Oreochromis niloticus: one gene and its partners. The protein of the gene in region 2 interacts with the protein of the main gene of each other region in a pairwise test. Links are inferred from orthologs where the notes say so. Each region holds a gene or a part of one and is shown on either strand. Other genes may lie near its edges. The genes, in order: ndrg4, reep6, ptpn9a and spg21.

Region 1 (7,790 bases), on a different chromosome or scaffold from region 2:
TGGCTCGCTCTCAGTGCCAGTCTCATTGTCTAGCTATTGAAAATGCCACTGGGGGGAGGGAGATGGGGGGAGCGGTGGCCTGTGGAGCGGTGCAAAGAACCCAAAGAGCAAGAAGAGTTGTTTCCAAACAGAAGGAACCAGAAAGCGAGCAATGAAAGCCTCACATACCCGACATCTCTTCTAAGGGACAGTTTTGTTACCCCCATCTGAAATTTAGGTTAATCTTACTGTTTTGTCTAAGGAAATGTCTTAACAGAATAAAAGTGTGTAGTCGAGTGGTATATTGAGAGCTGATGTGACTGCTACGCACCTCACAGTCAGTTTAAGTTCTGCTCAGAGGTTAAAATTGGGGAATTAGCCATTTAGCCTTCCTTACTAAGTAGTTAAACGTTCTAGAAGCATAATTTCAGCAGTATGTGATTTCATGCGTTTGTCTTGTATTTTAGAGAAGAGATCACCACGTAACCACACTGTCAAATCTCACAACATGTAGCCTCTGACTTCAGCACTCTATCTGTTATCTATTAATTCAAAGTAATAAAGTAATCCCCATCCAAAAGTCAAACTTTTCTCTTTGCTTTGTTTCAAGCAATTTACTTGTGACCAAAGTATTGTGATTTGAACTAGTCGGTGCTTTATGAAGATCAACTTGTGGCTAAAAGGTCTTTAAGGTGTGAAACCCCTTGAAGTTTATGCTGACAATAGCAAAAATATCACCAGTGCTATCCCTCAGCCTCCCAGTAGACGCACGTTTGACATAAATTTGAAAATTCTACGTGAGATCTTTTCCTATTTAGGGTCTTCATAAGATTGTTAGAAAACTTCACCTCCTACCTTGATCTTCAGTTCAAGGTGAACAAATAGAAAAGGTTAAAAGATTCATGTGACTGCAATGTCCATTTGTTATGTGACTTTAAAATCTATCATCTTCTAGTTTATAAAGCATTTTTCCATTTAGCATGTAATTAAATAACAACATCAACAACACTAAGTCTAACCCTGGATGGTCTGGTCAGTGTTAAGTCCTTAATGAATTATATCTGCGCCTTATGCATGTGCAATTGTATGTTTGATATGCAGATGCAGATATATGCAGATAGCTTCCTAAGCAGTGGCTTCTTGCTAGCTTTTAAAGCTCCTCTGACTTACGGCTTGGTACTGGGACTTTCCTACTACTTCATATGCTTTGTTTATCTGAGAGGTTGTCTTAAATTTTTCATCTGGCTGTGAAATTTCCCCAATACCTTTGATTTTCGTGAAGTCAACAAGATGTAAAGAGCTGGAACCTGTGGCTAGAACCAGCAGGTGAAACATGGAAGCAGGATCGCTCGTATCTTATTGCCATTTTGGACACATAGTAACCCTTATTGTGCTTATAGGGATAGTAACCTTTTTACTTTGAGTTGTAGTGCAATACACAGTGAGTTGGATGTAGGGAGCAGTAAAATTACGAAAAATTATGAGCTGTTAATCGGGGTATAGTAGCAGTAGGTGACATGATTTAAAAGAAAAACCCAAAACTGCATCTCTTCCATTGGAAATTCAGCAAGATTTTAACTCATGTTGTTCATACTTGTAGAAAATTCTGGAATAATGTAATTAATCTATATCCCCAAAAAACCCCTCTGGCCAAATATGGACTAACTGGTGTGAGCTAGCATTGCTGTGTAGCTCGTGATGAACAAGAGCAGGAGCGTATTGCTCTTTGTAAATCTATTTATAAACTGCGAGCTGAGAAACAGACCCGCTCCCGAAGGGGAGACCAGCTCGGCTTCAGCGGCTGTTTCATGTTCTCAAGAAACAGCAGGAAAAATACGAGTCAATAAGTTTCATAGTAGCTTGAAATCTGAACATAGCAAAAGATGCATTGCAAGAAAATGATAAGTGGAGAGCAGTTGCTGATCCTACAGAGAAATTATGTAAGAGGTCCAAATAAAAATGGGACATCAACACTGTTGCTTTTTTAAGGATATGAAAAATGCACTTTAATCTGTTCATCTGTTCATTCTACTGCTGGTGTGACGCAACAAACCTCACTGTCCTGATCAAATCTGCATATACGTTAATGTTGTCTTATATGGTTCTTTAGTTTTTAAATGCGATCACCCAGCCTCTTTATTTTGACCACGATGCCCCGATGCCTTATGATTCTAATCTGTCAGGTCCTGCCAAGACCACTGAGCCAAATGCAGGCACTTTCAGGGCACCACTAACACAAGCCTGCACCAGATTCAATCAACTTTTATGACTTCCACCTACTGTCGATTCATCATCCAGCTGACTCAGTCTCCTTCAAATCCAGCATTGTTTTCTTTAGCACGCATCGCTCCCTCCCCTGCCATTGCCAAAGTCAGACACATCAGAATCAGATGATCATTAAAAGCATCAAGACTTTTTTTTTAAACTACAACTTTATAATCCCACTTCCCAACACAGGAAAATACAATATAAATGCAAAGGCTTTGGGTTTAATACATAATAATAATCCTGTCTGGTTTTCTAAATGTCGCACTTTGGTTCCTGTGGGGTCAATAAATTCAACCTCTTGACATCCTGTTCTCGCCAATGCAGAGGCTGGCAACAGGGGTGTGTATGTGTGTGTGTGAGAGAGAGAGAGAAAAAGTATAAAGCACAAAGCTTCAGCAGCAGCATTCACATACACCGTGCCAAAATTCCCGTCCTCATTTTAACATCCTCCTCCTCTAGTCCTCAAACACAAAGCAGCCTCACTGCATCCGAGCTCAAATCTGAGGGTAGAGTCAAAACACGAAGCTTCTCAAAGAGTTCACCTGCAAATGACTGTTTGCCACTCGGGTAGAAACTGTTGAATAAATATTACAATCCAGGCAGACAAAGCTTTACGGTACCTGTAGTGTTGTTCAGAGCTTCTGTGGCCGCAAAGTCTGGTGTCGCCGTGTTTTCTGTGTCCGTCCCTCAGGCTGCTACAGACTGGCTGAGTGTACGTCTCAGAGTGTTTGTGCGTGAATGTGTGTGTGTGTGTGTCTTCCTGTGGTCGCACTAGAAATGAGAGAGAAAGAGCTCTCTCACCCTCCCTCCCTCTATCTCCCTCCCCCTCCTGATGATAAACACAGAGCACGTGGCTTCACCAATGATGCAGCACGCTGACAATCACAGCACCGAGAAGCGAGGAGAGAAGTGAAGGATGAGAAAGACGCTGGTAAAAATATAACAAAGTGAGTCTGGTTAAAAGGAAGGCGTGGGAACGTCCGTCTTGTTCGTCATACGAAAAATCCAGAAATCTCTCTTTTTCCTCACCAGTTTCAACAACCAGTCATCTGATCTGCTTCAGACTCTCCAGGTGTGTTGCAGGACACATGAGTAGGTGCACTGCAGAGTCAGAGGTCATATGGATGACTACAGTGCCTGCGCTACTGTGTCTGTGTGCAGGGGGAGGGGCATATAACAACACACAAGCGTGTTTGAATGACATTCATTGACATTAAGTTTAAATAAGTGCCAAACATTATTCTGATTGTAAATCTAAGCCTCATAAAGATAAAGCCGTACATATCTTTACTCAACACGATCTGTTTCCTGCCTTTAATGTTCTGTGATAAATGATTTAATTTACTCGTGTTTTTTCGATTAGTGGTTCTCGAGAGAACTACTAAGAGTCTGTAAATGTGTCATTGTTTAGTTTTTCTTTGCCTACATGTGACACATGTGTAAATTGTACCTATAAAACCAGCCAGGCTCTGCACCGGTGCCGTTCTGCAGCCCAGAGCTCGCAAGCTTTGAATTTACTCGGGATTTTGAAACCAGGCAACAAAAATACATTCATCCAAATCTGGAAGAACATATCCTTTTCTGAATGTCCAATTCTGACACGGCTCTCAGACGTCTTCACGCCCACAGACACACACAAACGCACACACACTCAACCCAACAGCCCACAGGCAAACAGAAGAGCTATTTTGTCTGGGTAAAGCAAGCGTCAAAGGAGCTTACCATGTTTGGGCAACTGGGGCATGAAGTGATAGGGGCACTGATAGCTGCATCATCCATGTGTCTCTGGTAGAGTACTGACTTCAGCTTTGCTATGAATACAGTAAGGCTTGTTTATAAGAAAAGATTGTGTTTAGGCCTGCAATTTAAACTTGTCCACCTTCCATCTCTAACCCCGTGTTCCAGAGTTGGGAGTGTGTTGGGAGTGTGTTGTTTACAGGATTGGAGAGCATATGGGACGGTCACATAATCCCCTTTTTTGGGCACCTTACATCGCTGCCGGCCCAAGAATAAACAGAGCCTGATATTGTTTAAACATTCGAAGATTTGGGTAGCTCCGACCTGTTTCCTGACATCTGAATCACGACTCACATTTGTGATGTTACCAGAAATTGATGTGCCTAACCATTAGAGACAATCACAGATGAAGCAAACACCAGTGTGAGTGATGAGGCATTGAAAAGAAACTCATCATAGCTCTCTAATTACTTTTTGTTAAAACTAGTAACATTAAGCATTAGTTTCCAGCTTCATTTTTTCTGTTTCTTTACTTTTAGAAACCATTTGCTGTTCCTTTTGGTTCCATGTTTTTGGCATTGTCATCTCTGTGTTTTGGAATCCAAGCGTAGCCTGAGGTACCCGACCGTAATAGGCTAAATCTAAAGTACGTTTCATTCAATAAGATGGCAAACGCAGGGTCACGGAGCAGGTAAGAGCCAACGAGGAATTTCCCTTTACACCCAGACACCATCTGTTGGCCATTAGCAAGAAAGTAGATTTAAGGCACAGTGCTCGTACGTCTGTCGTGTGCATTAAGAGCCCTAATGAGATTATGAAGAAGCACCTGCACGAGGATCACAGCACCCACAACACTTGAAGCAAACTAAGGAGGAGAATGATGCCAGCATTCCAGCAATGGCTAAACTTTTAGTTTGGCAGAAGCTGTCCCTCTGTGGGAGAATTAACATCCCTGCTGCTGTTTACGTGATAAAGGAAAGGCTGCAAATATCAACTTGATATGACTAAATCATTTCACTTAAAGGTAGAGTAAGTTACTCTTCTCATAAGGTGAAGCTGTAATGTAACACATAGTTTATCAGTAGTAATCTGTTAAAGTTACAGTGCGTAAAATCTCACCGCTAGATGTCAGTGCATTACAGATCGCAGTCAAGTGAATCCTGTTATCTTACCTCCACATTCAAGCACATAATCGTAGCTACGGTGGCCGCTGTAGGACAAACATGTTTTGGTCAAGAGAGATCAAATACATCACATTTACCTCGTGCAGCTGTTCGAAGTCGGGACGGTTGTATGTCTAATTTGCTGACAATAAGTAATTGTGACAGTATCAGGAATAATTAATAAATAATGTTTGTGATAAAGCCCTGACTTCAGTTCAGAAGATGAGGTGGGAGGAAGAGGATCACGTGGTATTCAGGTATTCAGGTGCTGGTGTCGGCGTCTCTTTCCTCGCGTTTTCACCTTTTTGCTGACGTTTTATGTCAGATGATAAAATATGGGTATGGTCCTGCATAACTTGAATCTGAAGGTGCAGAGACGAAATAAAATATGCCTCCACGGCACGAACATGCCTACGAGTTCTCTTCTCCTCCGGCTTCAGTGTTCTGCGTTTGTGGCCGGTGTCTGGCCACATGCATAAGACTGTATTCGACCACTGTATTCAACAAACCAGCCTTATCCTGTGTAGTTTTTAATTAATACAATTATGCATTTATTATATTTGTTAATTTTTAGTATTTATGAGAATGCATCAGTTTGTTGAAAGACATAATGAGACACATAATGACAGTACCAAAAACTTAACATTAAACACTGCCTGTAATCATACTCCATGTACACATATATTATTACTTGCTACCAAAACCGTGTGGCTGTTTAACATGATATCATTCTCAATAGAAAATATTAGATAACAACAGAAAATACATATCACATTTTAGTTGAAACAATTGACATTTATGATCTAATCACAAGCATCTGTGTCTACAGGCAGCTCCCAAAACCTCGCTGTCAGAGCGCTTTCATCAAATGTTTGCTGTTGCTAGGCTGTAGGACTGTGGTCGTCATTGTTGGATTGTAAATAACTGGTTAGAAAATAAAATAGGAAGCAACTAAAGGATGAGGATCATCTGATCTGTCAGGGCAGGATGAGAATCTTCTTAGTATCACAGACAGTATAACCTATGTAGCAAACCCTGAGCTGACCTGTTACACAGCAGGTCCAAACCGATGGCGAGCTCGCCAACGCACTCTCTGCTATGTAACTCATCTTGATTGAGCAGCATTTAAGAATCCCTCTGAATCCAATCTAAATTTAATGTATTCAGTTTAAAGGGATGCATGACTCAGACCGTCATTATGTAAAGCTATGCTGTGTCATTCTATAAAGCACTAAATGTGATACAGATAGAGCTTTTAAAAACATATGTGAGTCCAATTTACGTCATCACATGCAAATTTAGAGCATTTAGCAGATTTGGCATCCATATCATGCTTGTGATGAGATTCTCCTTTCTTTCAGACCTCAGATAGAAGCCACTTTTCTGTTTTGTTGCAGTAGAGAGCATTTACAGCAATGCCACTAATAAGCTGAGGCGTTTTAATTGCAATGATTTTATTTGCCACAAAAGTCAGCTCAGTTTTATTTTAATAGCCCAGAATCACAAATCAGAGATGCCACAAGAGATGGAACAATTCAGCATCATATAAGTGGTTATTATTGAGCAAAGTTGTAAGGTAAATACAGCCTTTCTGCAGTATTTGATACATTGCACAATTCATCAACAATACACTTCAACAAATTACCCCCACCAAGTTACCTTCATTCGTTTTAGTGCCACCTGAGGACGAATTAAGATTTCACACAGATGAGTCATATTTGAGGAGGAGGAGGGAGCGAGGAGGGGGGTGAGGGTGAGGGTGTGGAGTGCTGGTGGGCAACTCAGGCCTGTTTTTCAAAAAATATCTATTTGGCAGGACAGTATAAAGAAGGTTTTGTAAATGGGAGTAATTACTGTATTAATATTCGGTCTGCCCTCTCATACAGAGTTCACAGTAATAACAAAATGCAGAACAGTTTGTTATGTGATCACTTTATCTGACTTTAGACTGTATTACAGATCGCTTTGATTCTGGGTAGTGGGACATATTTTGTTATTAGATAGTTGATGTTTCTGCAAATGTGTTTAGACATTAGACTCTGTGGCAGTAATCACGATTATCATCAGATGACTTTAAGTTTTAAATGTACTTTAAGCACAAACTTTGTTCCTTTATTAACACAAGTCTTTAGTAATTATAATTTCTTTGGTTGTTTTTCTGGCACCAGCTGTACAGTGAAAACACTTTGGGTTATAGACGACAGGTGTACCCCGTACCCAGTTCACATGACATCATTGTTTTTGAGTAAACCACTAAAAAAAATCACCCAGCATAAAGTTGTTATTAAGGGAGAAACTCTTCATATAGGCCAGTTTTGTACCAGCTGTGAACATGATTTCATTGTGGTTCACAAGTTTTTGAGGATTTCCGCTCTGGTTTCATCTTTCAGCTTTGGAGGTTGTCACTTGTGGTGTATAAATACACTAACGTAGGCTTATTAACCAGTAACTGTCCTTTTTTCCCCCAGTCACCAGGTCTGAGACGAGAACAGTGCTATTTTCAGTGCAGCACTTGAAGTATTCACATTAAGAAATTGTTTATTATAGAAACCATAGCTTATCAGCAGCTGACAAATAAGTGTATTTGCAGTGTTACTTACTGCTGAAGAACAAAGAAACATTTTAGTCAGTGATGTAATGGAG
Region 2 (7,570 bases):
AAATGGCAGGATTTTATGCAACCTGCATTCATAGACATGATGCATTCGTGCATCATGTCTATTTTGCAGGAATGTTACACATAGCTTCACACAATATATAGTATGTATGTGATTAAAAAATCAGGACATTACATGTAGCCTTTATATCCAGCTTGTCAATTAATTATCAGTTTGTCACTGGACAGTCCTTACCTTTAAATATAACCCCTCTTCGTCCTCTCCTGTCCTGTTTCTCCTACATCTTTCTCCATCTCTGACTCAAGTTATCTCTCATTCTTTTCTCTCCCTGGGAAATACAGCAGCTGGACCTTTAGTTAGCAAACACACTCCATGACAAACTGCACAAGAACAGTTTGTGTGTTTGCTGATGATTGTTGAGCAATTACAGAAACGCTGCACTTGAAAATACCTGCTACTTAACATGTTATTCCCTGTATGCTCGCTCCTCTTCTGTACAACTTAGGGATATCTGCACCAAGAACACCACTGGATTGTTCTGGTCCACTTAGCTCTATAAACAATGCCTCTTTCATTTCTTTGTACGTGATACAACCTGGTGATGGATACACCAATAGTACTGTCTTTTATGTGCTACTGGTCCCAACTGGGCTACTTGGCTCAAATCAGTCTGATGTTTGAAGACACAGACTAATGTCTTAAACCCAAAGTAACAAACCCATTTTGAAAATTTAAGCAGTAAAAAATACAGATTTGTGTAAAAATGTAGAGAGTCAAAGTAAAAAGTTGTCATAAAAAAACAATACTCAAGTAAAGTACAGATACTTAAAAATTAGTTACTCTACTTAATCTTGAAATATTTGTACTTCTGTTTCCTCTGCTGCTCCTGCAACCCAGACTCGGACATATGAAGCCAGACTATGTACGCTGTATACTTATATATGTTGTGGAAAGAAATATTAAACTGAACTTATTTTAGTGCTGTAGCTGACTCCGTCAGAAAATCTGCTGGCATAATAGTCAGTGATGATTTTGACCATGATCAAAGTCAAATGGAGTCACTGGAATTTTGAGCTTTTGTAATAAAAACAAATACAATAACAATAATAATAATTCCATACATTATGATCTCCCTGGTCCATGGTTATAAGACACTACAACACAAACTTATTCCCCATGAGAAAGTTTAAGTGTGCATTCTGAGTCAGGAGAGAAACAAACTGAGCAGCTTCATGTTGTTCTTCTTCATGTCTGAGGACTCACCTTCGAGACTCTCCTGAGCATCTGAAGACAGAGTGCCTGACTGGAGCTGATCATGGAGGAACTGGATGATGGAGAAAGCGAGGCGTTTGTTGTCTGTCATGGTGGCAGAGGTGCTGCGTCTCTGTCTTCACTGAGGGAGAGACACCCTGCAACTAAAACCTTATTTCCAATAAGAACCGGAACCCTGTAAATGTACATAATGCATGCAATGAAATCCAAATCACTTAAATGCCGCTTAAGTATTATATGAAAATAGTGCAGTGCATTTGTTCATTAAAAGAATATGTGCCAACTTTGAATTTGATGTGAGCAACATATTTCAGTAAAGTCTGAATTCGTACTACATAACCTCTTGTTTTAACGACACTAGGAGGAGATCAGAGGGTAAACACGGCATATCAGTAATGTATTCTGAGCCTAAAGCCAGAGTTTTCAACCTTACAAGTGTGGCTAACTTTAGTTCACTATAGGAATTTATGTTAAACACCTTACGCGGTACTGACCAAACCAGAAATGTTGCCGAGGCCGTGCATTTACACTATGAAAAACAGTCTGTTTTCAAAACTGTGCTGCCTGCAGGCCTAAGGGTCACAGGAAAAGTTTTTGTTTCAGCCTTTTCCCCTCATGAAATTTCTGCTAGCTCTCTAACTCTTTCTGTCTCACAAACTGCAGACCCCATCTTTAATTCTGAAATACTCAGCATCAGTAATGCCCTTTTTACACCTCATTATGTCAGTAATTAACCTCATCAGCTCTCAGATGTGTCTGATTTTTTTTTAATCACATCACTCTATATGTAGACATGCAGCATGTATTTATATGCATGCATGCATACATTTTGTTATATTTATTACTTTCCTTGGTATCAACCAGGATTGAGTACCAACTTTGATGTTTTTTGAACATACCTGCTTATTTTGAATTTGATCTCTGCAGCACGAAGGAATGCCTTTATTGTCATTGCACAAACTTCTTTGTTTCAGCCTCTGCTATATTGCTGTTTGGGGGGGGGGTGTAAAGTTTTGTGTGGTTATTCTGTCAGATGATGCTATTAATAATGCATTAACAACTAGTATCAACAGTGATTAATGCTCAGAGACATGGATGTACCTTCTTTCCACCACACCATCACGACGATGTATGTTTAGCCACCCCCCCTTTGGTATTAGCATGGAGAATGTTCTAGCAACTCGAGCACTGTGTGAGCAGAGCTAACGTTAACCACCTTTGAACATAAAACCATTACACAAACAGAAGAGCAGCTGATGCGAGCTGATAAAGGAGATCTGTCTGTCGTGTTTTAAACTGCTCAAATCAGTGAAGTTTTTGAGGAGTCACCTCACACACACTGACTCAAGATCTCTGGCTAATTTCTAGCTTAGCGTGCTAGCATACCAGTTAGGACAACTAAAAAATCAGCACACATCTAGAATTTATTTGGCTCTTCAGGATATACGTTACGTTTAAAAATGGGTTTCCTGGAACTGCTTTGGCAAATCTCGCAGTCTAACGCTATTACTATAATCAGTACTGAATTAGGCGGTTATGCTGTATTGGTGAAACCCTGACAACTTAAGACTACAGCTAACTCATCGGACACGAATGTATCTCTTTGAAGTTAACAAGCAGCTGATTTATCTTCCGACTGAGCATGACTCGAAATGGAAAGAATGTGTCAACAAAAGGACGAAGCTGATGCTAAAATGCTTGTATTTAGTCAACCCGTGTTACTTTCTGTATGCAACATAGGCCGGATTTGACAGATGATTTCGACAGTTAACTATATGTCTTTAAGTTTCCCTCTATTACACTTGAGGTTCGCTCTAGATTCTAGAAGAAAGACCACGATGTACTGCAAGAGATTTGAAAGGAGCTTGGCGTGACGTGTTCGCCAAACCACAGCGGCACGATGCTAACGGGTGGCTAGGTGATCATATTCCTTTGAGTACATAGGCGCTACTTTATAAATTGACCTTCCACGCTGCCAAAGCGAGGCTGACAGTACAGCTAAGCGTTTCTCCTACCTGTCGTCTCCGAGTTTCAGATGCGAATCAGTCCTAAAAAAGAGAATTTACGTTTGCTTCGCGTCTTTGAGGAACACTCACTCAGTTCGCTCATAAGCTTGTCGCAGAATGATGTCATCATGCGAGGATGCAGTTGAGGGGTCGTAATATTTTTAGCGACCTAACTCACGGCCACTGTATTATTTATTTTTTAAAATTAATTATTTATTTTAAATTGAACATACAAAGTCTGACAGAACACACAACTGTGAAATAATAGAAAAGAAAAAAATAATAATTAAACAATAATAAAAACAATACAGTGAGGGTTTTAACACAAAACACAACTTGTAGCATGTATGTACTCTTTGTCCTGGGCCATTCTGAAGGAAGCTTAAACTTCCGTCGTTCCTGCGCATCTTTATGGACACTAAAATTTGTACCCGACAGGGGCGCCGCCAGAATTTTTTTTAAAAGAGTGGCTATATGGGGACCACTAAAAACATTGGGGTGACACACAAAAAATAGAATTTCCCCTTTTATTATGCTGTTATCAAATATAGATGACTTGACAAAAAAAAAAAAAAATCCCCCAAAAAGAGAGAAAGTGAAGAATTTTATCCAGTAGTCTCACTCATTTTTCAGGAAGTGATGCCTCCAACCGGTGAGGCATCCTTTTTCTTCATTTCATTCTTCTTTATTATTATTATTATTATTGATATAAAGCTGGCCATTTTCACATGACAGTCACTTTCAAACTTTTTTAGAACTGCATTTTTTAAAGGAATAGAAATGAAGGTACTCCAAATATGCAAGAACAAAATGACCCTCAAAGGGAGAAGAGTCCATGTTAAATCAGGTAACTATTTAATTTGTTTTTATCTTTGATATATGGAAAACTGACTTGCATAAAGGAATAATGCCACCTTTTTATCAGGAAATGTGAGTTTTCTTGAAAAACATCAGGTAAGAGTATTAAATTCCCTTCAAACCTTTGTCATGGATCATATATACAGAAAACCTATCATGTTTATTACACTTTTTATTACACTTAAATAGCTGTTGTAACCTGTGTGCTTTGGACTTTATTCTTTTTACAATAGACTTTTGTCACTCCTCTCTAAAGTATTTTAAATTGCTCTAACCTGCACAAAAGTGTTGCACAGTCATTGATAATAATTGACTGATCAGTGGCTGAGCTATAAAGCTGTGTAAAGCCTAGCTGATATATATCATGTATATAGCTTCTTCACTTTTTACTCTGTCTTTAATAAATGAAAATATTTATAAAAAGAACTTCTCAATACCTCCTTGCGTGCTCCTCCTCCTCCTCCTCATTATAGCAGATTGTGGTTGTTAGAGGATTAAACTCGGCACCGGACTCACTGCAGGCTGTTGTCCTCCGACTTCTCTGTGGTCTGAGGACCAGATTGAGGAAAATGGGCCTGCTGAATATTATCACCTCTATCAAAGACCGAGCTGAAAAGTTTCTAAATGAGAAAAATGTGGTGACAGATATTCTGGGAAAAATGGAGGAGAAAACTGGGATCAAGAAGAAGGTCATTGCTCTTGGTACGTGTGATTTAATCTTCTAGAATTATTTTTTTCCCAACTTGCCTGCTTTGTGTAGTAGCACATGGCTACTTCTGGATCATTCTGCTCTCGTTCTAGATGTAGTTGATTTGTATAAAGCTTGTTGCAGGCCAGTGGAAACCTGAAGAGGATTCAGTTAATCCTCCTGTGATCAGCTGCCGTCCACAACAGGAAGCTGGTAATGTTCAGGAGGTTTTCTGCTTCATTTATTCTGCAGTTAATCCTCTGCACTAATAAATATTTTGTCATATTGAACTCAGATAAACTGGCTCTGCGGCCCTTCGGGGTTTTAGGATCATTAAGCTCCTGGTTTTGTGGCAGTGCCTGCTTCATTGTGTCCAGTTCTTTGATAGGACATGTATCACCCTGAGCTGAAAGACTAATGTTTAGTACTTTCTCTGACTAAGCAGCGATGGGCAGAAGTCTCTTTATATCTTCTTATGTTTTAGTTCTTGGATCAACTATGTTAGCAGCTTTAAAGGACTGGTTTTACCCCAGTTTGATGCTGGTCCTACGCTCAGCTTATGTGTAACTTTTTGCCTGCCGCACAGAAGACCAGTCATAAAATGAAGTGAAACCGAGTGTCAAAAACAAAGAAGCTGTCCTATAGCCACTGTCTGAACTTCTCATGCTTTTTAAAGGTTAAGCATAATCTTTATCACATTTCTTCCTCACTGTTGTAACCCGCTATCACTTCTTTCCTGTTCTGATCCAGTTTTCAAATAGTCAGCTTTATACCTAAAAAAATGGCTTAATTGGCGATGTATACACTGTTGGTTTTGTGAAGGACACACAAGCACATCTGTGTAGGCTTCATACCAGGAATCCTTCACTCTGAATGGGTAAATATCCACAAACACTAATGTGGTTCAAAGAAACCTGCGGTAGTCCCAAAAGCTTTCTGCAGCTGTAACCTTGAATAACTCTCTGTCTCTTAAAGATAACTCTTTATTGTTATTGCACAGTCATATATGGTACAATAGTACAATGAAATTGGAAAAACTGAAACTGGGGCTAGTATCTTGTGTGGAACTAAAGCTGTATTTTTTCCACCTTTAATTAATTTCTCTGTCACATTTTGGCTAAGTTCAGACAAAAAAACCCAAAACAAACTCTGATAGGACACCAGTCATTGTTTATAATGACGCATAATTTCATAAGCATAAAGGGCAACCTTAAACAATGACAGGTGAAATAAGAGAATTATAACTGCTTAGAAACAATCAAAAGAATTATCCTACCCACACTGGCAACTCATCCAGTCCCCTTTAAATCAAAGTTTCACATGTTTGCAACAACAAATGGAGAATATTTTAAAAGAAATTCTGTTACAGCAAAATACACAAGACTTCATTTGAAATGTCACAGATTTTAAAATGTTTTCACCAATTTAAAAACAAAGCTATACAAAAAATAAAAAATAAAAAACATTTTTGGTAATCTTTTGGATATCAAGAGGGTAACAGAAGCTAAGGTTGTTAACAGGATTCTTTCTTTTGACTTTATTTTATATCTTTAGTGTCAGTTGTTTCCTAGACCATGTGGTCCCTAACATGGTCACAACACGTTAGCCATTTAGAGGGAGGCCTATTAATTATTTTTAGTCCTGTGTGGACCTAACAGAAAATGTTCTCAAGAAAGCATCACAAATGAATTCAGATCAAATATCCTTCTTGATCCCGGGACTCAATTCCTTTGGTGGAAGGTTGAAATTTTCAGCCTTGGAAGAGTTACACAGACTCTCAGGCTGCTCTTGATATTTAATTATTTGGGGTTTAAGTGCAAATAATAAACATTCACACTCCAATGAACGCATGGATTGCCCAAGGATATTTGGCATGCAGACTGGGGAAGCCATCCACCAACCTTCCAATCAGTAGCTGATCTGCTCTACCGCCTGAGCCACAGCCACCCCAACAAAGGTCTTGTTGGGTTTCTGATTTCAAGAATTTTAATTAGTTTACACCATGTTACTTCATCTTCATTTCTAAAAGGCAAATCATCCAAATTAGCTAACTGAAAATGGGGGTGAGTGTAGCTCAGGTGGTAGAGCAGGTAACTGGAAGGTGGTTCAATCCCAGTCTGCATGCCAAATATCCTTGGGCAAGATATTAACCCCATGTTGCTCTCCGATGCATGGATTGGAGTATGAATGTGTGTAAATGTCAGATAGTAAGCACTTAGAACCAGCTATGAAAAAAAGTGCTTGTGTGAATGGGTGAATGTATAAGTTGTGTAAAGCGCTTTGAGTGCGCAAATAGAGTAGAAAAGTGCTTTCGTCCATTTACCATAAAAATGGCTTTTCCATCCAGCTCTGACAAAGAAAACCTCTGTGGGTTCAGGAGTTCATTGTTCAGGTCGAAATAAAAAACGTTTCTGCCATAAAATCTTAAAGGCAAAACCTCCATACTTGATTTGTCTACGGTGAGTTCAGTAAAGGTTATTCAAACATCACAGCAGTGTGTTCAGTGTTAACAGAAAATGGGAAGAGAACCATCACTTTACTCTACTTCTGCCTTTCCTGCTGAATTCCTGAAGCTCTTGCACATTATATTGTTTTATAAATATTGTCGACATTTTTACAAGAAAGTTTTGTTGTTTTCTAAAAATAAATACAGATCAAACAGTGTATTTTGTTGGTAGTCTTAAAAAGGGCTCTCAGGTCTGTGTGAACACAGTGATCCAGTGAGCAGGGAACAGCAGTGTATTGAGAGCACGTTGATGCTGGTGCAGTGGATTTGTAGCACATTAAG
Region 3 (7,254 bases), on a different chromosome or scaffold from region 2:
TCCCTTCTCTGAGCCTGGTTCTGCTGGAGCTTTCTTCCTTCCCACTGTCACCAAAGTGCTTGCTCATAGGGAGTCATGACTGTTGTAAGGTCTACCTTACAATATAAAGCACCCTGAGGTGACTGCTGTGATTTCGTGCTGTATAAATAAAACTGGGAAAACCCCACTTCTGATCCTGTTCAAGCCATGTTTAGAGCTAAATGAATCCTGTCAAATGCTGCTATACATATCAATAAATATGTTCTTTAGAGCGTCTACTGACATTTTTAAGTATGCACACAAAGCTTCCATTAAATGCATGTAAAATTATCCATCCATCCATTCTCTTTCACTTATACTTATTAGGGTTGTGGGGAGGCTGGAGTCTATCCCAGCTGCCATAGGGCGAATGGTGGGCTACACCCTGGACGAGTTGCCAGACTGTCACATGACTAAAAGACAGACAACCATACAGACCTATGAGCAGTTTAGAATCACCACTTAACATAACCCCACTGACTGCATGTGTTTACACTGTGGGAGGAAGCCAGAGTACCTGGAGAGAACCCACCTAGACACTGAGTCAGAAAAAAAATCATTATCAAAGAATATGGGCAAAACAGAAGCAACACTCCCTTTATAATTTTGTTGACCTTGACTACAAGTCCACTCTTGCCCGTTTGTTTTCCTCTCTGTCTTCATTGTGCTCGCTTCTGTTCTCTTCAACTTTGTGCTGTTACCCAAAAGTTAAATTATAACAGTGAAGCAGAACTTACAAACCAATAAAAGGCATAAACTGATCCTCATTTATAACAATATTCAGACTAACTACAGGCTGCTACTGGACGTAAACTTCCTTTCGACTTGCTCTCACCTGGATCTGGAGCTGTACTGTAGACAAACAATGAAGCGCAGAACCGGAATAGAAATCTTTAACAAACTAAAAAGTGCACAAATAAAGTACATCAGCTCTTTTGCTGGTATATCACTAGCTGCCAGCAGACTAGTGGCTCGAAAAGCTAAAATTAGTGAATAATCTCTGGTGATTTAGGCTACATTAGCTAAAGTTTTTGACACCATTTAGTTTTTCAATCTGCATCACTGATTTGTGTCATGAAATTACCTCTGCATATTCTTAGTCAAGTCTTATCTAGAGTATTAATGACAAACCACACTGCTGAAGCAGCAACGCCTCTGTGAGAGACTGAATCATCATGGCACCAACAACACTGGGCAGTTTTCTTTAGGGATGCCTGAGCACCCCTAAAAAGGGTCTGAACTCGCCTATGTAAGATACCGATACCAGCATCGGCATCGATATTTCGATCTGCCCACCTCTACCATCCATGCATAATTCTACTACTACACTTTGTTTTATAGCTAGGTCTGTAAAGGATTTCCATCCTCATATGATTAAATACTTGAAATCGCAGGAATATTCAACTCAAAAATCACAAGTCAAAAAAGAGCAAACAAGTAAATCTTCACACTTGAGGACCTGTTCAGATATTACCTCAATAAACAAACAAAAACAAAGGCTGGCTGCTTATTTGTCCATCATCTAAGGGATTTATCAAGCAAATCCTTCTGCTCCAATAATCAAGAGTCTCATCATTCCTAGAATAAACGCTCCGTTCTTCGGGCTCCGAGTTCTTGACGCCTAGAATGAGCCAATAGGCCAATTCCTGTTCTTGGAATAGTTTTCTCAGAATTCTCTCACTTCTCAATACTTCCAAGCCTCGAAGTAGAAAAACAGGCCAATAATATCGAAAACGATATGATGACTTAAAGCTGGTGTTTAAGAGTGTGGAGACAGAGTTTGCACGCCTATTTTTACTTAAAGCAAACAACAAAGTACTCAAATATTTGAGAGAAACGCACTTCCTCCATCCTTAACTTAGAAAGTGCGGCGATATGTGCGTTAAAATGTGCTCGGATGGCACGGCATGAGCATGCAGGACTCTTTACGCTGAGCCAAGTTTCTACTGTGTACATTTTGTCAAAGACCGGCCAGCGTTTCCGACTCTCGCGGCCAAGCAGTTTCCCGTCAATATCACCGTGTTTAACTACGACACACGAAACAAACATGCCCCCCCTTCCCTTCCATTTTCTGGGGGGGCGATAAAGACAAGCTCGGCCTGTGCTGCAGCCCATCAGCTCAGCCGCTGACAGTGATGCAACGAGAGCAGTAATGCGCCAGAAATCGATACAATATTTCCGCTCTGCATTCAGGACCGTTTCGGAGCACAGCCACCATTTGCGCACTCTCAGTACACAGGGCAAAAAAAAAAAAAAAGCCTCCAGGTAGAGTCTCGAGACTGAAAGATTTTTATTTATTTATTTTTAGCCAACATAACCCAGAAACGAAGAAGTGGAAAAGACACGGACTCTCGGGGCCTACCTGCTCTTCCTCCGCTGATAAAGTAGCTGCCATGATTCCCGTCAAATCTTTGACCACTTCTTTTTTTTTGTTTCCTTCCCGACACTGCTCCGTTTCATACAGCAGAGGATGGCGGTGATGTCGGTGTGTCTGTCCCTCGTGTGAAAAAAACGGGGTTTGGAGGAGGAGGTGGAGGAGAGGGGTTGTCCCTCTCGCTCACAAACTTGAAGGCATCTAAAAACGCCACAGTTTTTAGCCGAGTGTGTTCGCTCCTGATACCGCCTGCGATCGCGAAGCACGCGGGCCAATTAGCATAAATCTACCAGTCTACAAACTCGAGCGAGCCGCTGATGTGTCAGATTTCACCGAGAAGGAAATTGGAAATGGAAAAGGGAAGGAGGAAAAAAAGCACGGCGCTCGGAACAGCTTAGACGAGGACTCGCTTCATTCAGCTCGGGTTCAGACCGTGTTGTGCAGCTCCTCCACCTAACTTAGCATACGTCGGACTGCGGCTGCCCGCTGCCTCCTCCATGCCATGTATCGCAAGTTTTGGGGCTGTGAACCTCGCCTTTATGCTGTGAGACGGTGACACGCGCACGACCCTGAGCACCGCGAGAGACCGCAGGCTTTTCTCTCTGCGTATCGCTGCGCCCCCCCCTGGTGGATAAGTCGAGAACATGACGAAAGCACACTGACCTCCGCCTTCATTCATAAAAATAGAAAACTAACAAGGGAAAAACGCCACTCTTAACATGGTTAAACCTAAATGGATGCTTTATTTGAAAAAGAACACGTGAAGAGTGCGTTCAGTGATATGTATTATTATATTATGTTTCCTGTAAGTACAAAATTTGACCTCAGTTAATCTCAATTTAGCTAATTAAGTGAGTAGTTTTGACTAGGGAGGCTATATTTCAAGTGAAATCTATAGTTTTTCAGCATTTATCCTAAAGCAACTGGAACTTTCTATTTTTATAATACTACTACTAATTCTAACAAGTTTGAATGAACATTTAATGTTTTCTAGAGTTGAGCGGATGAATCCGAATATTTATAGTATCAATAGCAATGCTGGCGTTACTTTTTCTATCCTCTAAGTTCGGTATGCAGCCCACTGGTAAATTATTCTTTTGGAAATGGAAAAAAATAAACCTCAAACATGCACTATGGTACATTTAAACCACATAAGTTGACCCAAAGTGCATTAGAGACCTGTCTCTGTCACAGTTATGAACATACACGAACAGCTTGAATGTGTGTTTTGTTGTATTAACTAAATATCGTGGAAAGTAATCACAACCCGTAAATAAGCTGCCTTTATAGGTTAAATGTGTCTGTATCGGTTTTGGTATCAGCGAGTCTGGCCCTGTATTTACTTACTTTCTAATATTTCTAAGGTAATGTAAGCAAAGAAGCAAAAGGTGTAAACTCTAGCAGCTAGGCACTAGCTGACTGAAAATATATCTTTGCATGCTAGTTATATTTTCAGGTGAGGATGTTGGACTATTTTTAAATATGTTAACTAAAAATAGAATCTTAGTAACACACCTTGTTGAGTGTGAGGAGTTAACTAAAACTGATGGCTATTTTATGTAAGGGCTAGTGCAATTAAAGTGTTAGCTTAGCATATTTTAGCGTACAGTCTAGAGGCACTGCTCACTGCTCATGCAAGGGTGCACATTTTCTTTTTGTTGTTGTTGTTGTTGTTTTTTTTAAGTAGTATTGAGCAATAGTTATCCAGACTGCCAAGTTTTTCTTTGGACATTGGCTGGTTTCTCATTCATTTTCAGTCCAGTCATGCTGTTTATACATGTAACAGACAACTTAGCAAAGAACCAATTTTAATTTCTTTCTCAAGCCACTTTTTTACGAGCACCCTGTTGCAAAACCATACCAGTTGTTTACATTTCCTTAGTCAAATCTATGAAAAATGCCAACGATAACACATTTTGACAGGCATTAAAATGATTTTCTGCATAAATAAAGTTATTCCCAAAAGCCAAATACTTGGCATATCATTGCACGGTGTGCAGTGTCTCCTAAAAAAATACTAAGAAAATTGGACAAACAGAGGACATAAGAAGAAATAGTTCACCCCCCCCCCAAAAAAACTAAACAAAACCCCAAACAAACAAAAAAACCTATCCACAGCAGCAAAGACCTGAGACAGGATCTGAAAGATGCATTTGGCTCTGTAGTTGATCCATCCACTGTTCATCGAAACCTTGTCAGAAATGGTCTCAGTGGAGCGGTGGCTGCCAAGAAGCCATTCTTAAGGAGAGAAAATGTGAAGAAAACTCTGAGGTAAATACTGAAAATCAGTGGCAACATGTCTTATGAAGAGATGATTCCAGATTTGAAAATTTTGGTAAAAATGGTCATCAATAAGCACAGAACAGGTCATGTAGAGGTACAACAGTGACTTTCTATAGACATTTGTGAAACACGGTGGAGGGGCTGTCTTAGTTTGGGGCTGCATTTTAGCCAGTGGTGTTGGACATCTTGTCAAAATTGATGGAATTATAAACTCAGAATAGTACTGTCAGATTGCACTACCATCTGGAAACCATATGATTGGCATCAGCTTCATTTTTCAACATGGAAACGATCCCAAACACACTATAAAAACATATCTGGATATTAAAAAACAAAGAATGGAACGCCATCAGCCATGGATTGGCCTACCCAGAGCCTCGACCACAACATTATTGAAGCAGTGTGTGATCATCTTAACAGAAAGCAGAACAACAGACAGCCAATATCCAAAGAAGAGCTTTGAATGTCCTTCAAGGAGCCTGGAGAACTATTCCTGAAGATACTTAAAGAAATGACAAGAAAGCTGCCTCAGAGAGTTTAAGCTGTGTTGAGGATAAAGGTGGCCATACCAAATATTGACCCTCATTAAGCTTGTTAGAATTGTACTTACTTTATATACCTTATAAATTCCTCATATTCCATGCATGTTTGCACATAATTCCATAAACTGCTCCACCTATTTCCCATTTTTCTTGCAAAATATAAAGAATTAAGGGGTGGCTCAAGACTTTTGCACAGTGCTGCAGCTAGTTTGTTTGTTGGACTCCAAGCTGTATTCCTGATTCAAGAACTTTAAATCCTATTAATGAAGGGTTAACATTCCTTTTATTCTTTCTGCCATTGAGCTGGCACTGCGACCTCAAACAGCCTTTTCTCGGTTAAAAACACAATTAATCCAATGAGCAACACCAGAATCACCATTAGCCAGTAAGCACCATAGGTAGGACTAACTGCAGTGTCATGGTGTTTGTTGAGTTTGTCAAGCTGTGCATTGCAACTTTCTTAAAGGTACATGCAATCTGAAGCAGAATGTTATTGTAATTTTCAGCCACTGTAATCTGCATTCATAGTGTGCAGCTTTGTGCACATTTTTCATCAGCTTTGAGTCTACATCACAGCTGCACTCCCCAAACCAGCAATTCACATTATTAATGCATTACATAAAGTGGGAAGACACAAATAATAATATGAGCAGGCCCATCCATAATAGTTGGTTGCACTTATAGCAGTTTAATTAGTCAAACTTTCAACTCTTGCTTCCTTCTTGCTACATTATAATCTAGTAGAGTTTACAGGAAATGCATGACATCATAAGAATGAGAAAATACCCAACAGCACGATAAAGTCACTGTAACATGAGCCACAGACACAATACAGGTCTCCCTTGGAATATTATGGGCTGCTCATATAGTTCAGCAGGGAGGTTATTTCGAGCGCAGCCAGGAGATTGCATATACCACAAAGCTATTGAAGGCCATCATTTCACGCCTTTGGGTGTTTTAATGAGACTGCAAAGGTAAAATGATGCAAAACAAAGTGAGAGGCCGTGCTTATCTCAACATAGGTCGATAGAGAAGGAAGGGAAGATGGCAGAGTGTTTGTCAACGTGCTTCTGTAGGCCATCAAATATAGGAACACTGGAAGGCACGATTATTCCCCCCACAATAAGCAAACTTTAAATATTGAAGCGTGAGAAAGTCTTGCTTGAAAACCAAAGGGAAAAGGGAGTGGACAACAATAGACTTCCTGTGAAACCAGCTGACATCATCCTTTGGGAAAATGTGATTGGTAAACCTTTAGCCCTTCCCCCTAATAGTGTCAATCTGACTAAAAAAACTAAAAAAAAGGACGCAGTAAACCTGTGAGAAATAAAGATTTCAAGAGTTGATAAACACATCAATAAAAGCTAGAGAGGAAGGTGAGGTTCTCTACAGTTGTTGCCAAAAAAAAAATCAGTTCGCTACAAGATTGAAGTTGTTTTACATAATGCGGGTTAATGACACGAGCCACTTCAGGCTTTATACATCAAGTCTAAAATGGGTGCTAAATGCATTTCGCAAACACACAAACACACTTAGCCAAACTCTGTGAACCCAGTGCTGCATGAAGCTGTATGATCTTAGTGCAGTACGTAAGAACTGAGGAGATTTAATGACCTGAACAGCAGTTTACACTCTTTTATTAACGTGGCACACAGATGAAGTTTGCTCTCACTGATATTACTCTCAGACGTGCACAGAGAAAGAGAGATGTGCAGAAGAAACACAAATCTGCTTCACTCCTTAAACGTCTTGTAACAAGGTTTTTGTAAAGATCAGAGCATCTGTGTCTGTGTGTGTGTGGAGGGGGGGAGACTGACAGCACTATGAAAAATGTATCTGTGAATTGGCAGGTGCTCGGTTCCTGGAAAGTACTGCTGAGTCATATCGGAATTCTTGCAGTAACCGCACATCTCGCTTTGCTCTGTTTGACATGTCTCTCAGTACAGAGGTGAAAGAGGAAGTATCCGACTGTACTCGATGAACTGCATTTGTCAATTTGCTCTGGATTACACAAGGCGTATTCTTTAGATTTTTTGC
Region 4 (7,425 bases), on a different chromosome or scaffold from region 2:
CTACATGAGTCCGTGTTGGAGTTTGATTACAGTGTTCACTAAATACAGAATGATGAGTGGTAAAAGTGCTGCAGGCCTGGCTCATGTTACATATATAACCATGCTGCGGTAAACTGTAAACAGACTGCTTCTACTCTACCCAAGCATTTTTCTATGCATGTGCTTTCTATCCAGCATTCACACTGATGGATGCATCAGTATATGGCGTTATTTTTGTGCCTCTATTCTGAGTGCGCGTACATAATTTTTGCAAATACAAATGTTGCATTTTGAGGAGAAAATTATTTTGAGTGAAGAAAATTCATTGCTGCTTGCAAGAAATGTATTTCAGTGTTTGCTATTATCCATGTACACACACATATAATAACAACCCCTCTCGCTCAGTTGTTGGCATTTGCTCTTCCTCAGATCTCTTCTCTGTGTGCTGACAGGTATCTGCAGACCTGCTCCCAGTGTATGTCACTCCCACTCTCAACATCTGTGCTCCCTGCACGCTCAAGTTTTTCTGTTCACCGTTATAAATGTGCCAAAAAAACAAAAAAAAAAAAAAAAAAAAACACAAAACAAAACAAAAAAAACTGATGCAAAAATCCTAAATGGCTGTTTTTGTCTCCAATCAGCTCGCTAGCTACTGCATTCCGGAAACACTGTCCAAAGTGTAGCTAAATCCAGTGGAGTGCTTTGGTTTAAACTAGATTAAAACCCATTTTTGGTTAGTATGTTTAATTATTTTATTTTAAAATATATAATTTTTTAAGACCATTGTTGGTTTTATTCTAGTTTAAACCAAACCACTCCACTGGATTTGGCTAGTAGCTAAATCTTTATCTAATATCTTTTATCCTGTCTTTCTTTTCTCACCCCAACTACATGCAGCAGATGGCCACCCCCCCCCCCGGTTCTACCCGAGGTTTCTTCCTGCTAAGAGGGAGTTTTTCCTTCCCACTGTCACCACCGTGCTTGCATATGGGGGGGGGTCATATGATTGTTAGGATGTTCTCTGTATGTATTATTGTACAGTCTACTTTACAATATAAAGCGCCTTGAGGCGACTGTTGTTGTGATTTGGCGCTGTATAAATAAAACTGAATTGAATTGAAATTGAACACTTTATTCTCACACGTGTTCTCTACTGCACAAATATGGGCACTGCACAGCTGTAGATTAAATGAAGCTTGGAAACAAAAGATTTTTTATCGTCCACGCCGCCCTAGTTTAGCTGTCCGAACACGTGATCCTGAAAACAGCGGCCCTGTGATTACTGCACACAACATCAGTATAAATGTGACCATGTGACAGATGGCTGACTGACCAACATGTGTTAAGGACAGAAGGCTTCAGTGCTCACATGACAACAACGCAGGAAGTTTGCAGTGGCAGAAAGCCTCATGCACACCAGACCTGAGGACAGCCAGGCATTCAGTAGCTCACAGACTAACCACTTGGAACCTAACTATTTCCTGGCACAGCGACAGAGTGAGCCCATGTTCAGACAGCACCAGCAACAGCAGTGTGTTAGTGTGAGCAGCACTAAGCTGCTATGACTCTCCCTGGAGGAGTGTCATTGGAACTAAAGAGAAGATGTAGTGATGAAGAGCAGCTCTAACACATGGAGGGGGGGGAAACGTGGTACATACTAATGTAGTACTAAAGTACTAATGTAGTAAAACTAGTTTGTGGTGCAACTCAAATGCAGCTGCACCAAAAACTGATCCTGTGGATCATATGAGATGTTGTCATGCTCAGTGCCAAAGGTCACACGTCTGGTGATCTGACCACAAGAATGCTTGTACGTTCACGTGTAACCCTCCATGTATTCATGTACACTGCTCTGTCACAATCACTGTGACATTTCAAAATGAAATACACTGCCATGTCAGAAACACGCGTATAACAACATAAACAACTCTCCTTTCAGTCATTCCACTTCAAACAATGTTTTTAGAGAGTTTCCTGCTCAGTCATCTCTGAAAACTCGGACATGGATGATGATGACTCTGAAATTATACCTTCATATATCACATACTTTTCCACATACATTTACTTTTAAAGGCCTATCCACCCACTTTTCCACACTTTAAAGTCTGAGGCCAGATTTGAACATGAGCATTTCAAAAACTATTAAAGAAAAAAGTCTAAACTGTCTTACATCAAAATCAGGATCTGTAATTTAGGACAGACGTTAAAAAACCTCAAAGTTTATTTCTAATGCCACTTCCTGTACTTTAAACTTTCCCCGACTCCTCCAGGGTATGCTCGCAAAGTGTGTTTCCAAAAAAAATTATTTAACAATCATTTTCTAATTAGTCGAACTACATGTGCAAACTCAGATTAGACTGCCTACTGACATTTTTGTTTTCATGCTGCTCAATCCAGCACGAAAGTTAAATAAAAATTGCTTTTGTTTTTTCATTTTTGTGGTTCAGTGGAGCAGAAGGCCCCGGTGAGCTCAGATCATAGTTTCGGTTCCAGCCAGTCTCCGCCATGCACCTGTACTAAACAGTAACGTGGCTTCTAACTGCATGCGAGTTTGGTTTTCCTCGCAGGCACAGAGAGGACATAACAAGTGTGTACTTCCTTAATGACGCAGTGGGCCGAGCAGCTCTGTGTACTCACTCTTTTCAGTGGCACCGTGCTTCTGAACCAGTTGTAGTCCGGAGACACTTTAATCTCGTCCATCTGTGGACACACAAAGTAGCAGTCACAGGATGGCGGCGTGCTTCGGCCGGGGGAGGTTCGGGGAGCAAACACCGCCCGCCGCGGCTACCCGCTGTTAGCTCCGCGGCTAACTGCACGAGACCACCGACTAGACGACTTACCACAGATGTTCACCGCGGCCCGAGACGCCGTGACGCTGCTGTTCCCGTGCTACCCGTGGATGTCAGTCACCGTATCCGAGACTCCAGGTCCATGTCGGGGTACCGTCTCCTGGGCGGGCGCCTGCTCATGTGACTCCGCTTTCACACACTTCCTTAAAAGATCCTGGCTGCCGCGTTCACCCCCGCACCGCTTCTTCTTCGTCTATTGGTTTAATGAAGAATGGATCGAAAGCTTCCAGCGCAGCGCCCCCTGCTGTTTCCGTTTAAGCTAATAATCTAATTTATCTAATAAAAGCAAATATGGTGTAACTGCTCCAGGTTTGTATTATCGGCTGCACTGAAATTAAATCATTCACTGTTCAATAAAATCTTGGTTCTTCCAGTTTAACTTCTGTCAAAAACAAGTCATTAGCTTCCCATTACTCCTTTAAGCTGACTTGATTACAAACAAAAGACGCCTGAGAGGAGCAGAAAGAAGGAAGTGAGTGTTCAAAGCAGTCTCATGCTTTTGAGTCACAGGCATTACTTATGCTGACGGATTATTCCCATGTTTGATATGAGCGCCCCAACCCCTCAACATGAAATAAGGCAATGCACAATAGGTCCTTTCAATATTCAACGGCCTAACCCCATATCTGTTTAACTTTTCCTTTACTTTGGATTAAACCTGTATTGGAAATTTAAACTCTGCAGTATGCAGAGATCTCTGCTGGTTCATAGCTAATTAAGACTGGAATAAAGATAACTAGATCAGGAATGGGAGACTGAAAACTCCAAGATGGAAGTTCAATCAAAATCAAAACCGTAATTATATGGACGACTGAGTAAAAGAGGGAACCACAAGGGGATACTAACCGTAGGAAAGAATTAAAAGAGCACGAGACATACAAATACTAGAGAAATTCAGAAAAGTAGAAGAAGACAACACTGCTGTGAGCATGTTAGTCAGACATGTGGAGAATGATGACGAAAATGAGCAGATACAAAAAGATCAGCTTTAGTATATTACACGTATTAGAGCAGGGATTTTTTTCTGTGTGAGACCATCACATAAACACGTGCAGTGCAAACCACCACTATAACAATAACAAAAGATTAAACTTCCTAGCTCTTGATCTAGCTCCTAGATTAAGAATCTAGCTAATTGGTGCTGAATGAATAGAAGGGAAAACATTAAAATAATAGTGGAAATAAAACAGCTTGTTTGAGCCCTTTTCTGTTGTTGTGCTTTGGCAAAGTGTGCTCCTGCACCTTTTTCCTGGCTGCATGAGTGAAAACAGGCTGTGATGAGGATGACCTCTGCAGATGCGCACACACACAAACACTCGTAACTAGGGCTGGCTATCAATTTCAATTTCTATAACTGATTCGAATCCGAACGACATGGTCCTGATGTGATTCAATCCCTGATTCGATTCCATGTTGACTCAGACAGTCAGAAATATTAATATAATTCAGATCATTTCTTATATCTATGTATAAAAACAAAGGTGACACTTGTCAGACTTCATCACAGTAGATGCCTTTGTGTCAAAGGCATCTGCTGTGATGAGGATAAAACACAGAAAAACATGAAGGAGATTTTCTTGGCCTGGCTTTTTTATAGCAGGTAACCGCCTTAGACCACAGTAGACCAATAAGCAAACAAATAATGCAGAAAACAGATTTTTGATGGTAAACTGTTCTTGGAGCACAATGAGGGAGAGAGAGAGAGAGAGAGAGCTGTGCAGGAAGTGTGATATTATTGCGGTGGAAGCAAAACAGCAAGAGTGAATCTATGACGATGTTTTTCAAATGTGAAGTGTAGTGTAGTCTCCCAATTCAGGGGCGAAATCTTTCGGAGAAGACCGATTTGAAAGCTGATTATGTCACAGCGAGGTGACATAAATGCTGCTCCAGAAATGGAGCAAATGAAGAATATCGAAAAACTAAATGTTAACCCTTTGCACATTTCATCTAATTTTGTTTGGCAATTTACTTATTTTTACTGTTTGCCCTTTTTTGTGCTCCTTTATTTCATCTGCACTTGTCTGTTTGTGACGTTGATTATGAATGATACAGTATACTGTACTGTGCCATGTTTTTGTTTTTCAATAAATGCATTACAAAAAAACCAACAAAAACAAATGTGTCCTCCTTTTCCCCGGATTTGAAGATGGGTCGGGTGTATCCTTCGTTGTCCACGCTATCCCAGGATTCATAGCACGGCAGAAGAGTAAGCTTTTAATAGTAAGTACTCAGTTTTATGTCACTTATTTATGCGGCAAAACAAATGTTTTAAGAAGAACATTAAAACATTACTATTGGCCACGTGTCGGCAAAGTTATCTGACATTAGTGATGTTAGTAGCCTACTTAACGCGGTTTAGGTTCTACTTGATTTTAAAGCCTTTCAAAAGTTGACTTTAATCTTGCAGAGATTGTGAAGATTTTATGGATATTTAAAGTCAGGCTAAACCGTATTACACAGAACAAGCTGACATATAGACAGGCCTGGTTTTCAGCCCTGAATATCACGGCACAAGCAGGATTTATTGCACTCTTAATGTAAGTTTGATTATTTTCCGGCCTCTGTTTGGTGGTGTCGAGCCAAACAGACTTTAGCATTTGTCTTAATGAGCTGACAGTTCGCTCGTTAGGCGAAAAGAAAGGTGCTTTCTTCATAGGAGTCAAACATGTGGCCACAACTGGGAACTCATCTCATCTTATTTAGTACTCCTAATAACACAAAGAGAAAATACTCCTTCTCTTGTGCTGTTTTGTAGTACTGTATACCACCTGAGCCTGTCACTTTTCTGTCTGTCCTGCACTTTCACCTTCTCTCTTTTTTTCTTTCTCTCTGATTGTTAAATAAAAGTGTGTTTGAATCCTGCAGCTTATCACACATTTGATTTACATATCTGAAACCTGCAAGTGTCCAGAGTCAGGACTGAGGAACCCATTGCTGCAAATCATCTGTGAGGCTTTGCACCCCTGATGATCCACCAGGACAAACTCAGCAGTGTGTGAGGAAGAGCCAGCACCAGCTGAGAGATGGAGAGAATAGACAGATTGTTCCCTTTGTGTGAAGGACTGAAAGGTTTAAAATAACTAATTATCTGTCCTGAATCAGTCTTATTAGGTGATATCTAAAATAATTTTATCATTCAAGCGTTTTCAGTGTGGGAGAAAGTACTCAGGGCTTTCAAGTTAAAAACTATGACAGGCAGTAAAAAGTTTTTATATTCAGAAACTTAAAGTATGTAAGTATCAGCACCAGTATGCACCTGAAAATGAGTATCCATATTTTATAAGGATGTTATGTGTTAGTATCATTTCTGCCCAGTTTGACCCATTTAGCAGAAATCATCGTGCTTAAGGCTCTGCTATCTATTCTGTATGACTTAAAGCAGTTATGATATACCACGTTACATATAACATACATATAATAATGCACATTATGCAGTACGCTTCTGCTGTGAGGTCCTGCCTCCATGTACTTATGCATTTAATCTCTAGATGGGTATATTTAAGTGTGCCTATGCCAAGAGGCACACTTATTACTATTCGTCGGATTTATTAAGTATGCCTATGCCAAGAGGCACACTTATTACTATTCGTCGGATTTATTGTGTGGATGCCCTCAAAGGGCTTCCACACTATTGAGTTCCTGTTTCTCTTTATTGTGTGGATGCCCTCAAAGGCATCCACACTATTGAGTTCCTGTTTCTCTTTAAACTTTATTCTTTTTCAAGTTGCTGCGCGTTTTTCGGCACTTAACTACTCCCTCAGTTTTCAGCCGATTTTCTCCGTTCAAACTCTAAACTGTTCTGCTATTTCTGCTAATTCCAGCTATATCTTTTGGTGTTTATTACTATTATACTTTTTAAAATATTACACTTTTTTCCTTTAATTTGTCCCATTGAAATGAATGGAAAACTTCCACAACTCTGCTAAAACTTGCTTGTTTTTGAAACTTAACTACTTCCTCATACTTTCACCTAGAAACTCCATTCAAACTTTAAAATGTTCTCAAATTATTGGGCTATTCCTGTCTGATTCAGCTTTTTCAGATCTTCTACCGTTTTAATTTAATGCCTCTTTAAGTTTTCAGTTGCAGCTTTGTGATTTTTCAGAAAATACATGCGTTGTTATGGTTGCTATGCAATTAACTCACAGTGAGCACTGGTCCTTTCTGAAACTTCTCTTCATGTCCGAACAACTTCTTGCTGCTCACTCAATTTTCATTCAACCCCCGCAAATTATACATCAAAACGTAGGTATTTTTGCTGACTTTCAGACAATGTCACTATCTTTATTGTGAGATTTACCGTTTTTTCACAATTTGCCTCGAAGTGACACAAGGTTTCAATACTCCCCATTCAAAGTCTATGGGGAGGTTTTGAAATTCAGAGCTGAAATTCTGTAACGGGAGGCATTTTCAAATCGCCATATCTCTTAAACAAAGCAAAGTTAGGACATGAGGCTTGTGCCAATATATCTTCAGACACTGCTGACACTCACAGTGGAAGCAGTTTTTACAGTTATCTTACCGTTGAGCAATGAATTACGTTTGTTTGAGGGGTGGAAATCTGTCCTCCTCTCAGTTTTCAAACTCCGAAAATGAA

Evidence for each region.
Region 1: the proteins of reep6 (region 2) and ndrg4 interact in binary tests that used the Homo sapiens proteins (3 or more experiments, as listed by UniProt). The two-hybrid records come from large-scale screens. The link is inferred for Oreochromis niloticus from reciprocal best matches to the Homo sapiens genes REEP6 and NDRG4.
Region 3: the proteins of reep6 (region 2) and ptpn9a interact in binary tests that used the Homo sapiens proteins (3 or more experiments, as listed by UniProt). The two-hybrid records come from large-scale screens. The link is inferred for Oreochromis niloticus from reciprocal best matches to the Homo sapiens genes REEP6 and PTPN9.
Region 4: the proteins of reep6 (region 2) and spg21 interact in binary tests that used the Homo sapiens proteins (3 or more experiments, as listed by UniProt). The two-hybrid records come from large-scale screens. The link is inferred for Oreochromis niloticus from reciprocal best matches to the Homo sapiens genes REEP6 and SPG21.

What each region holds. Positions count from the first base shown.
Region 1 is NC_031972.2:4,221,890-4,229,679, reverse strand, and holds the start of ndrg4 (protein NDRG4), read right to left. Parts: upstream 3,023-7,790; 5' UTR 2,868-3,022; intron 1-2,867. UniProt on the Homo sapiens protein: Contributes to the maintenance of intracerebral BDNF levels within the normal range, which is necessary for the preservation of spatial learning and the resistance to neuronal cell death caused by ischemic stress.
Region 2 is NC_031980.2:37,191,633-37,199,202, forward strand, and holds the start of reep6 (receptor expression-enhancing protein 6), read left to right. Parts: upstream 1-4,569; 5' UTR 4,570-4,663; coding exon 4,664-4,796; intron 4,797-7,341; exon of another isoform or gene 7,342-7,570. UniProt on the Homo sapiens protein: Required for correct function and survival of retinal photoreceptors. Required for retinal development.
Region 3 is NC_031972.2:44,378,094-44,385,347, forward strand, and holds the start of ptpn9a (tyrosine-protein phosphatase non-receptor type 9), read right to left. Parts: upstream 3,003-7,254; 5' UTR 2,414-3,002; coding exon 2,381-2,413; intron 1-2,380. UniProt on the Homo sapiens protein: Protein-tyrosine phosphatase that could participate in the transfer of hydrophobic ligands or in functions of the Golgi apparatus.
Region 4 is NC_031965.2:4,634,427-4,641,851, forward strand, and holds the start of spg21 (maspardin), read right to left. Parts: upstream 3,022-7,425; 5' UTR 2,820-3,021; intron 2,680-2,819; coding exon 2,617-2,679; intron 1-2,616. UniProt on the Homo sapiens protein: May play a role as a negative regulatory factor in CD4-dependent T-cell activation.